Linked DNA regions of Canis lupus familiaris. The protein of the gene in region 1 purifies or fractionates together with the protein of each later gene. This does not show direct contact. Links are inferred from orthologs where the notes say so. Each region holds a gene or a part of one and is shown on either strand. Other genes may lie near its edges.

Evidence for each region.
Region 2: the proteins of CMTR1 (region 1) and DHX15 purify together in Homo sapiens (co-immunoprecipitation; 3 studies listed by BioGRID and IntAct, with this or other methods). This does not show direct contact. The link is inferred for Canis lupus familiaris from reciprocal best matches to the Homo sapiens genes CMTR1 and DHX15.

Annotation. Positions count from the first base shown.
Region 1 is NC_049233.1:6,635,142-6,639,670, forward strand, and holds the start of CMTR1 (cap-specific mRNA (nucleoside-2'-O-)-methyltransferase 1), read left to right. Parts: upstream 1-1,670; 5' UTR 1,671-1,848; intron 1,849-3,775; 5' UTR 3,776-3,809; coding exon 3,810-3,957; intron 3,958-4,529. UniProt on the Homo sapiens protein: S-adenosyl-L-methionine-dependent methyltransferase that mediates mRNA cap1 2'-O-ribose methylation to the 5'-cap structure of mRNAs.
Region 2 is NC_049224.1:86,179,249-86,183,062, reverse strand, and holds part of DHX15 (pre-mRNA-splicing factor ATP-dependent RNA helicase DHX15), read right to left. Parts: intron 2,551-3,814; coding exon 2,332-2,550; intron 1-2,331.

The DNA.
Region 1 (4,529 bases):
CATTCAATTACAAATCACAAAATCTGTTAATTATATTTCAATATAATTGATTTCCTTTGTAATTCTTAATTTCCTTTGTATTGTATTTTATGCCCTTCAAATTATATTTTGAGAGTGGGTCCATAAGCTTTACAAGATTACCAAAGGTGTCCAAGGCACACATATGTTAAGAATCCCTGGTGAGGTGGAAAAACACTTAGCTTTACAATCAAAGAGGCCTCGGTTTAAATGTCCATTTGCTGCTTCCTAGCTCTGTGACCTTGGGTACATCACTTAACCTTTATTCACCTTCCATACTTACACAGATTCAATAAATGTCTGTTGAGCACCTACTACCAGCTACTATATTAAATCCACAAGATTTAATGCAGACAGATGGGGATAACCTTTCCTGTACAAAGTTTACAACTGGATGGAGGAGGCAAGTGAGTCAAGGGGTCATTACACAACACTGTGATAAGTGCTTTGATAGCAGAAAGACAAAAAACTATGGGAACTTGGGGGTGGGATTCCCAACCCAGACTTGTGGAGTTAGGAAAGATTTCCAGATAAGGATGCTAAACATCTCAGGGATAAGTGGACATTAGCCAAGCAAAGGGTGAGAAGACTATCCAGGTAGGGGGTTGTACCCTTAAGAGACATGGGGATGGGGAGAAAGGGCCAATAACAGAAGGCACGACCGCAGATGGGGTCAGACTAAAGAGTTTTGTAGCCATCGTCAAGACATGAGTTTCAACCCAAGAGAAATGGGAGGTCGAGTCATTGACGGGTTTTAATCATTGATAGGTTACAAGATCAGAATACATTTTAAAAATTCTATACTACAAGCATCACCACTGGAGACAGGAAGAATGATTTGGAGATTATTGGAGGAATCCTGTTGAGAGGTGAGTGTATGGCTTGTGCCAATAGGGATGGAGAAGAATGTATGGATTTGGGAGACAATTAGGAGGTAAACTCAATGAAGTGTGTATCGGAGGCTCTGGGGAATGAGGGAGATAGGGCCATCCCAGATTTCTGGTTGGACCAACAGGATGAACGGTGGCACCGTTCACTGGAAAAAGAGCAGGTTTACAGAAGAACATAAAGTCAGATTTGAATTTATGGGTGTGAAGTGACTAAGGATGTGAAGCAGACTTCTGGCCATATTGGCCAGAGAAGCGGAAGGGGGGCTTGGGATGGGAAGCCATCTGTTTCCACACGGGAAGATGCCACAGGCAGCATTCCTTTTTTCCTCCTGACCTTCGTTCAGCAGCTGTTGAAGATGTACTATACGCGGGATGTTGGGGATACAGCGGTGGACCCGAAGACTGGGTTTCTGCCCCTAACCAGTTCGCCGTTTACCTCTCTCGACTTGTTCTTAATCTGCAAGATGAAAATAATAACGGGATCAAATGAAATGAGGTGACGTGACGACACCTGCTCTTCTGATTTCTACGTCTGTGGCTCGCCCCGCAGAGCGGGAAGCGAGGATACCTCGGGCACCGTGGCTTCGGGATCCTTCCCCTCAGGCTCTTCCGCGCAGGCGCCCCGGCCCGCCCCGGGTGGGGTGGGGGTGGGGTGGGGTGGGGGTGGGGCGGGCCCGAACCTGAGCCTTCTTCCCCGGGGCCAGGACCCGGCCGCGCGGAGGGTGCGGGCGGCCCGTGACGTCATCAAGCTGCGCAGCCCGCAGGGCGGGACCCGAGCGTGACAGCGCGGCCGGCGGACCCGGCTGGCTGGTGGGGAAACGAAACTGAGGGAGGAGGCGGCGGCTCTGGCAGCGGCAGGGCCAGGCCTGGTGGCGGCGGCGGCAACGGCGGCCTGACCCCCGCCTCTCCGCTCCCAGGCAGCTCACTCTCTCCCCTCAGCGTGAGTGCCGACGCGCGGCCCGGGGGGAGCGAGCGGGCGGGCGGGCGCGCGGGCTTAGCATCCTTCCCCCTCCACCGCCGCCTCGGCCGCGCACCGGCGGTGGTGACCCTCGCCGCCCCTCCCCCCGCTTCCTTCAGCCCTCCCCGCCCCCACCCGCCCTCCCGCTCCCGGCAGCCCGAGTCGCCGCCGACGAACGTCTGTGCGCACACATTCACACACTCACGTTGTTTTCAAATGAAAAGACTGGCTGGGAGAGCTGCGACCTCCTGTCGCTGCGTGGATAAGGGTGGCAGTGCCAAGCCGACACCTTGGGAGAGACGACTGGACAGGGGGTGTGAGCCCCTGCCTTGAGGGAGCAGCGGCTAGAAACAGGCCTCGGGGCTTCCCTGCCCCGAAGGGAAGTTCGCTGCCGGCGCACGTTCCTCTGGCCTGTGCGGGTCACTTGAGCGGGCCACTGGTTAAGGTGTGCGGCCTTCCCTCCTGCGCCTCAGGTTTTCCCACTGGAAAACGAGAGCGTTGGAGTAGATGATTTGGAAGGCCCCGATCTAAGGTGGCCTGGGGAGGAGCATCAGTATCTCCTGCCTTTCACACAACTCTTTACTCTCCCACCCCACCCCCTTTGTTTTTGCACCCACCCCAACGCAGTCCACATTGAGTTCCCCGTGCTTGCAGTCTCCCAGAGTCGCTAAGAATCAGATGGCCCTTTTTGCTTTTGTTAGGGACCTTTTTTTTTTTTTTTTTGGCGGGGGCGGCCTTTAAGACGATGGCTTAAAGTGAAACGTGGTCTTGCTTTCTCTTTGTTCAGCGTCCCCCGTTCTTCCTTCCCCAGGATAACCCCTGCCTGTGGCTAGTAAGAGAGACTGCCTCCTTAGAATAAGATCATGCATTGGGTTGACTGGCTCATCCTTGAGTTGTAGAGAAGCGAAACATGTAATTCAGGGTTTTGTGAGGTTGAGGGCATCAGCGGTGTCTTTGCCTTGCGTTGCTCTCTGGCTGCTGTGTCCATGTTAAAAGCCTGTTTTGTCACTCTGCACCTCCCCTTCCTCAAGGAATTGCAGCCCAGTTGGTCACCCACCTGTCTGCTCTTAACGTTTTGAGTTCTTTCTCTGAGTCTTCTTCTAGCCCATCAGTTGTATGTAAACCACACCCGATTCACTACTGCTCTCGCTTGCTCTTTAACTTGATCATTCCTTAAGGTTTCAAAATGTCACAATCACTTCATTCCATCTATTTTTTCCCCTCAATCTTACCTCTCATGTACCTACCCATGGGCATGGATAATGGTGACCTGGGACCTGATTGTTTCCATTCTTTTTTCATGGAGGTGTGTTGGTGTTCTTAAAATTATTTTCACACCAGAGTCCTATGATACGGCTACCTCTGGTTTCAATAACTTTCCCACTCTTCTGTTTCCTAAGTCAACCACTGCTTCCATTCCTTACCCTCATTGAAAACTCCCAATTCTTTCATGTTTTCAAACATCCTGAAATAAACCAAAACCAGTATTCGTATTATATTGTGTAACCTCTTAATTGTCTGGATAAAAATTATAATGGTGATGGAGCAGTCATTCTGAGATGGTCCCTTCACCTTGTAAATATTGGTTCATAATCATTAGGTTTCATAATTAATGTCCAGTATACACATGGCCAATGTTGCATGAAAAGTATAGAATAATAAGTACCCAAGACCTTTTACCCCTCTGTGGCTTGTGACTTTTTGATATCTGACATCAAGGCCCTGAGGCCTCTCAATTTGTGAGCTCCACACATTTTCCAGTAAAACGAACAGCTATTATTGAAGACTAGAGCTTGGCTAGCATCCTTCCTGGACCTCAGTTTGAGAAACTGGCACTGGAATCTGTTTGGAATTGCCAAATCCCATCCCTTTGATGATTTATATTTTGGAATCCCTACTCTGATCCTAGTGGCTCTGACAAGGGCAGCTGACGATCTGGATTTATGGTTGCAGTAACAATGAGGAGGAGAAATGATCCAGAATGCACTGCCCCTATCAAGAAACAGAAGAAAAGAGTTGCAGAGCTTGCCCTGAACCTGAGCTCTACGTCTGATGACGAACCTCCCTCTTCTGTCAATCATGGAGCAAAAGGTATGCTTGCCCATGTGATGTGAAGCCACTGGCCATCTGGTTATTTGAATCCCAGGTGCCTGAATTGGGCAGAACACGGTCAGCTACCCCTTGAGGGAAGTTGAGCAAGTTCTACAGAGAGATGTTGGCTCTAGCCTCTCTTCCCTTCTGCTAGTCTACTAAGAATGGGCAACTTGTTTTAGATAAAAAATTGGAATGTTAACAGTACTGTCTTAGTTCTGTGGCTAGTCTTGCAGTAGGTGGCACTCTTTTGCTGCCTTAAACCAGTTGGAAGTAGTGGTGAGCACTGAGTGCCCTGTGCTGTTAATTGCTGCTAATGATCCTGGGGCTCTTTCACAGGGGATGGGCTCTTGGCTGCATGAGCTGACCTAATTCCCCTCAGGTTTTTGCATTCTGTTTTCTCAATTCCCTCAGCTGTTGTGATCAGAAACACCCAAATGAGTTAGAGTATCCCTGTGTTCACTGTTGACACTAAGCTCAAAAGATTTCACTGATCTGGTTGAAACGAACATTTTACTCTGCCTGTTTTTTAGGGTTATGGACATACAATGTCCATAGATGCCTTTCTGTGA
Region 2 (3,814 bases), on another chromosome or scaffold:
CTTCCTTTCCCCAACTATGGGATAGCTGCCAAATACAAGAAGTTAAATCACAGGAAAGCCTTTCAGGTTCTCACCATGAGATCATCTGATATTTCTGATAAAATTCTAATATGCTTAGTTATCTGAACATAATGGCTATTTTAAAAAGTCATTTAAGAAAATACACTACACAGCACTCTATATGAATCAAGAAACTAGAGACCAGGCACAAAAGGACAAGATGAATACCTCAAATGCCTAAGGCTGCATTATTGCATAAATACCATTTTTATGCCCTCAAAAAAGCATTTGGTACTCTTGCTTCTAAAATTTATAAAAATTCTTCCATTCAAAATGCATAAAAATAAAGACAGGTACCAACAGAGGGTTTATCTGTAAAAGTGAATTTGCAACACATTTTATTTCCCAAAAGAACAAGTATGATTTTGTACTGGGAATGATTTTCTACCCAGGGGACATGTGACAATGTTTCTGCAGACATTTTTGGTTGTTACAACTGGAGGAGAGAATGTTACCGCATGTAATGGGTAAAGACCAAAGATGCCACAATGCACAGGTTACCCCACAACAAAAAAAACTGATAGGCCAACCATGTAAATAGTGAAGTTGAAAAAACCTGCTCTACAGAAAAAGCATTGTGGCCAATGGGGGTACAAATCATAGATCATACAAATACTGAAGAAATGCAAGGACAAAGAAATGACGCAACATTTATAGCTCTTAAAACAACAGCCTTTGCTGGAATATTATGTGTATCAAGCATTCCTGTAGAAATTGAATACAAATAAAATAATTCACATTCCAATGGAGGTAGGCAGTCACAGAAGACCTGTGATTTTTGTATCTGGGAGAATTAGAGCAATTCCCCACAACACTGTTTACAGTTGTGTCATTAATGTACTACAGGAATTATACTGGTTTAAACATTCCTCTGGGACAATGACCTTTAAACCTAGGGAAATATAAAAATGGCCCACAGACCTCATTGAAGATGCAGATTCCTTTTTCGCCTCAGATTTCACCTATCTCAGCAAGTCTGGAACAGGACCAAGAACTTGCTTTTAACAAACTCTTCTACTCTTCTCTCCTAAGTAGACTGTCCAATGATCACACTTGAGAAAAATGTTCTGGGGCAGGGGTCAGACCTTTTCCTTTTACTGTAAAGGGCCAAAACAATTTAGGCTTTGAATGCACACATCATCTCTGTTGCACATTCTTTGCTCTTATTTACAACTGCTTAAAAATGTAAAAACAATTCTTAACTAGTGGGCCATACAAAAACTGAAACTGGAGGAAGGTTGGCACATGTAGCTATTTAAATTAAAATGCTATAAAATTAAAATGTATTCCCTCCTCTCACCAGCCACATTTCAAATCCTCAAAAGCCATACACTCCTGGTGAGTGACATACTGAACGGCAGACAGAACATGTTCAGCACCAACAAAAGGTCTGATGGAACAGCACTACCCCAAAACCTCACCACTCAACCCTGGAGAGCTTCAACATTACTTGGGAGCTTGTTAGGTAGACAGAATCTCAGGCTACACCTGACCTACTGAATCAGAATCAGTAAGTGGAAATTTTCTAAGTGGAACTGCATGTATGTTAGAAAAATACATTCTAGAAAGTTCATAAAGCCTACTGAAACAGAGGACAAGCTCTAAGAAAACCTCCAGTAAGAGGCTCTCTGAAATGGTCTTCTCCAGATAGCTTTTTCCTGAACTTTAGCTTGAGAATTTCATAGCACACCTATAAACCTACGGTGGAAAACAAGTTTTAAAAAATGCAGCACAAAAAAATAAAAAAAAAATCTACACCTGAGAATAAAACCTGTCAAAGTGAGGTAAATTCCAACTAAGAAATTTCACTGATTCCTTCTAATCTTCAGTGAACACATGAAGACAAAATCAAAACACAAACATTTGAAGCCACTCAACTTCACTCACAAGCTGACTAGGACAACATGATTTCACTGCAGCTGTGTGGTTCAAATTTATGCTTTAGCAAAGCTGCAAATTATCACACCACCACTTACCACTCAGGTATCTCCAAAGTTGAAAACTGCAATTGCTAAATCTTGAAATTCTAAAAGCACGTAACATTCTTAGGATAATTAACAAACACCAATTGTATAAAAGGGTATTCTTAGAGTACATATAAAAAGGGGTTATAATGCTTCATACATAAATACAGTCAAGTTGAGGAAAATCTTTAAACCTTGGGATAAGAAATACGTGGTTAATATATACCATGTTCTTAGATTTTAAAAGCTGTTGTATAATTTAACATGCTAAAGGCTAAATAATTAAGCAAATAATGACAATTAATACCTCTTGACCAGTTAAGAAAAGTAGAAGATCTCCTTCCTCCTCCTCACACATATGAATTTGGATCACTGTTCGAATGGCTGCTTCGAGATAATCTCTCTCTGGTTCAGGAGTATAAAAGATCTCAACAGGATGTGTACGTCCAGGAATAGTTAAGAGAGGACAGTTATCAAAGTAAATCTGGAATTTCCCTGCATCTAATGTAGCGCTCATAACTATAACCTGGGGGAAACAAAAAAACACAAAAGTTAATTATTTGAAGCAGTCTTCAAGGATTCTTACATGGTCCTAAGGAAAAAAAGACAAGTAATGTCTATGTTCTATATATATCTCAATTATTAAAAAACCTACAAAAATGATTAAAAAAATCAAATGCAGGGGCACCTGGGTGACTCAGATAAGCATCTAATTCTTGGGGCACCTGGGTGGCTCAGTAGTTGAGCATCTGCCTTTGGCTCAGGTTGTGATCCCAAGGTCCTGGGATTGAGTCCCACATTAGGCTCCTCACAGGAAGTCTGCTTCTCCCTCTGCCTATGTCTCGGCCTCTCTCTGTGGGTCTCTCATGAATAAATAAAATCTTCAAAAGTAAAAATAGTAATTTTTAAAAAGCATCCGACTCTTGATTTTAGCTCAGATCACGATCTCAAGATCCTAAGAGCAAGTCCCTCATCTCCTCCTCGGGCTAAGCAGGGAGTCTGCTTGAAGGTCTCCTTTCCCCTGTCCCTTGCCTTGCACACACTCCCTTTCTCTAAAATAATAAATAAATACATCTTAAAAAAAAATCAAATACAGAAATGCTGAACTATGATAAAAGAGTTACTGACATTTTTAAAAAATTAGAAATGAACACAGTATATAATAAGAAATAAATAACACCTGAAGGCCCAAAGTTCATAAACTGTTTTAACATATTTATGTTTACATAAGATTTATATAATATATAAAAGGGAAGGGTAAAAGACAACATAAATAAATAGCACAATTACTACTGTGTTTATTAAGACAGAACAGGACAACCTTACACACAGGAAAGAGCAGGAAATGCAAATAGAAAAAAAGAAAAACATCAGTGGCACAGATATAAATTTTCTCTTTTTCCAAATCACCTTTAATAAGAATGACTTCTTTAGAAAAATTGCTAAACAGGGATTTTCTACACTGTTGTAAAAAGCCAGTCACCAAAAGGCTGTTCCAAATACAGAGCGATGAAGACTGTACAGTCACCCTCTCTCCATGTAACTCAAACATTATAGCACCCATTAAAAATTTACTTAAAAAGAAGGCTCCCTCATAAAACATTCTACTACAGAGTAAATTCTACTTTGAGTTTCTTTCCAAAAAACCTTAATAGCTCATACCTGATTTCACTTATATATGAAATCTAAAAAACAAAAAGCAGAAACAGGCTCATAAATACAAAAAACAAACTGGTTGCTGCCAGGGAGGGATGGACAAAATGAATGAAGGAGACTAGGAGTTTCAAAGT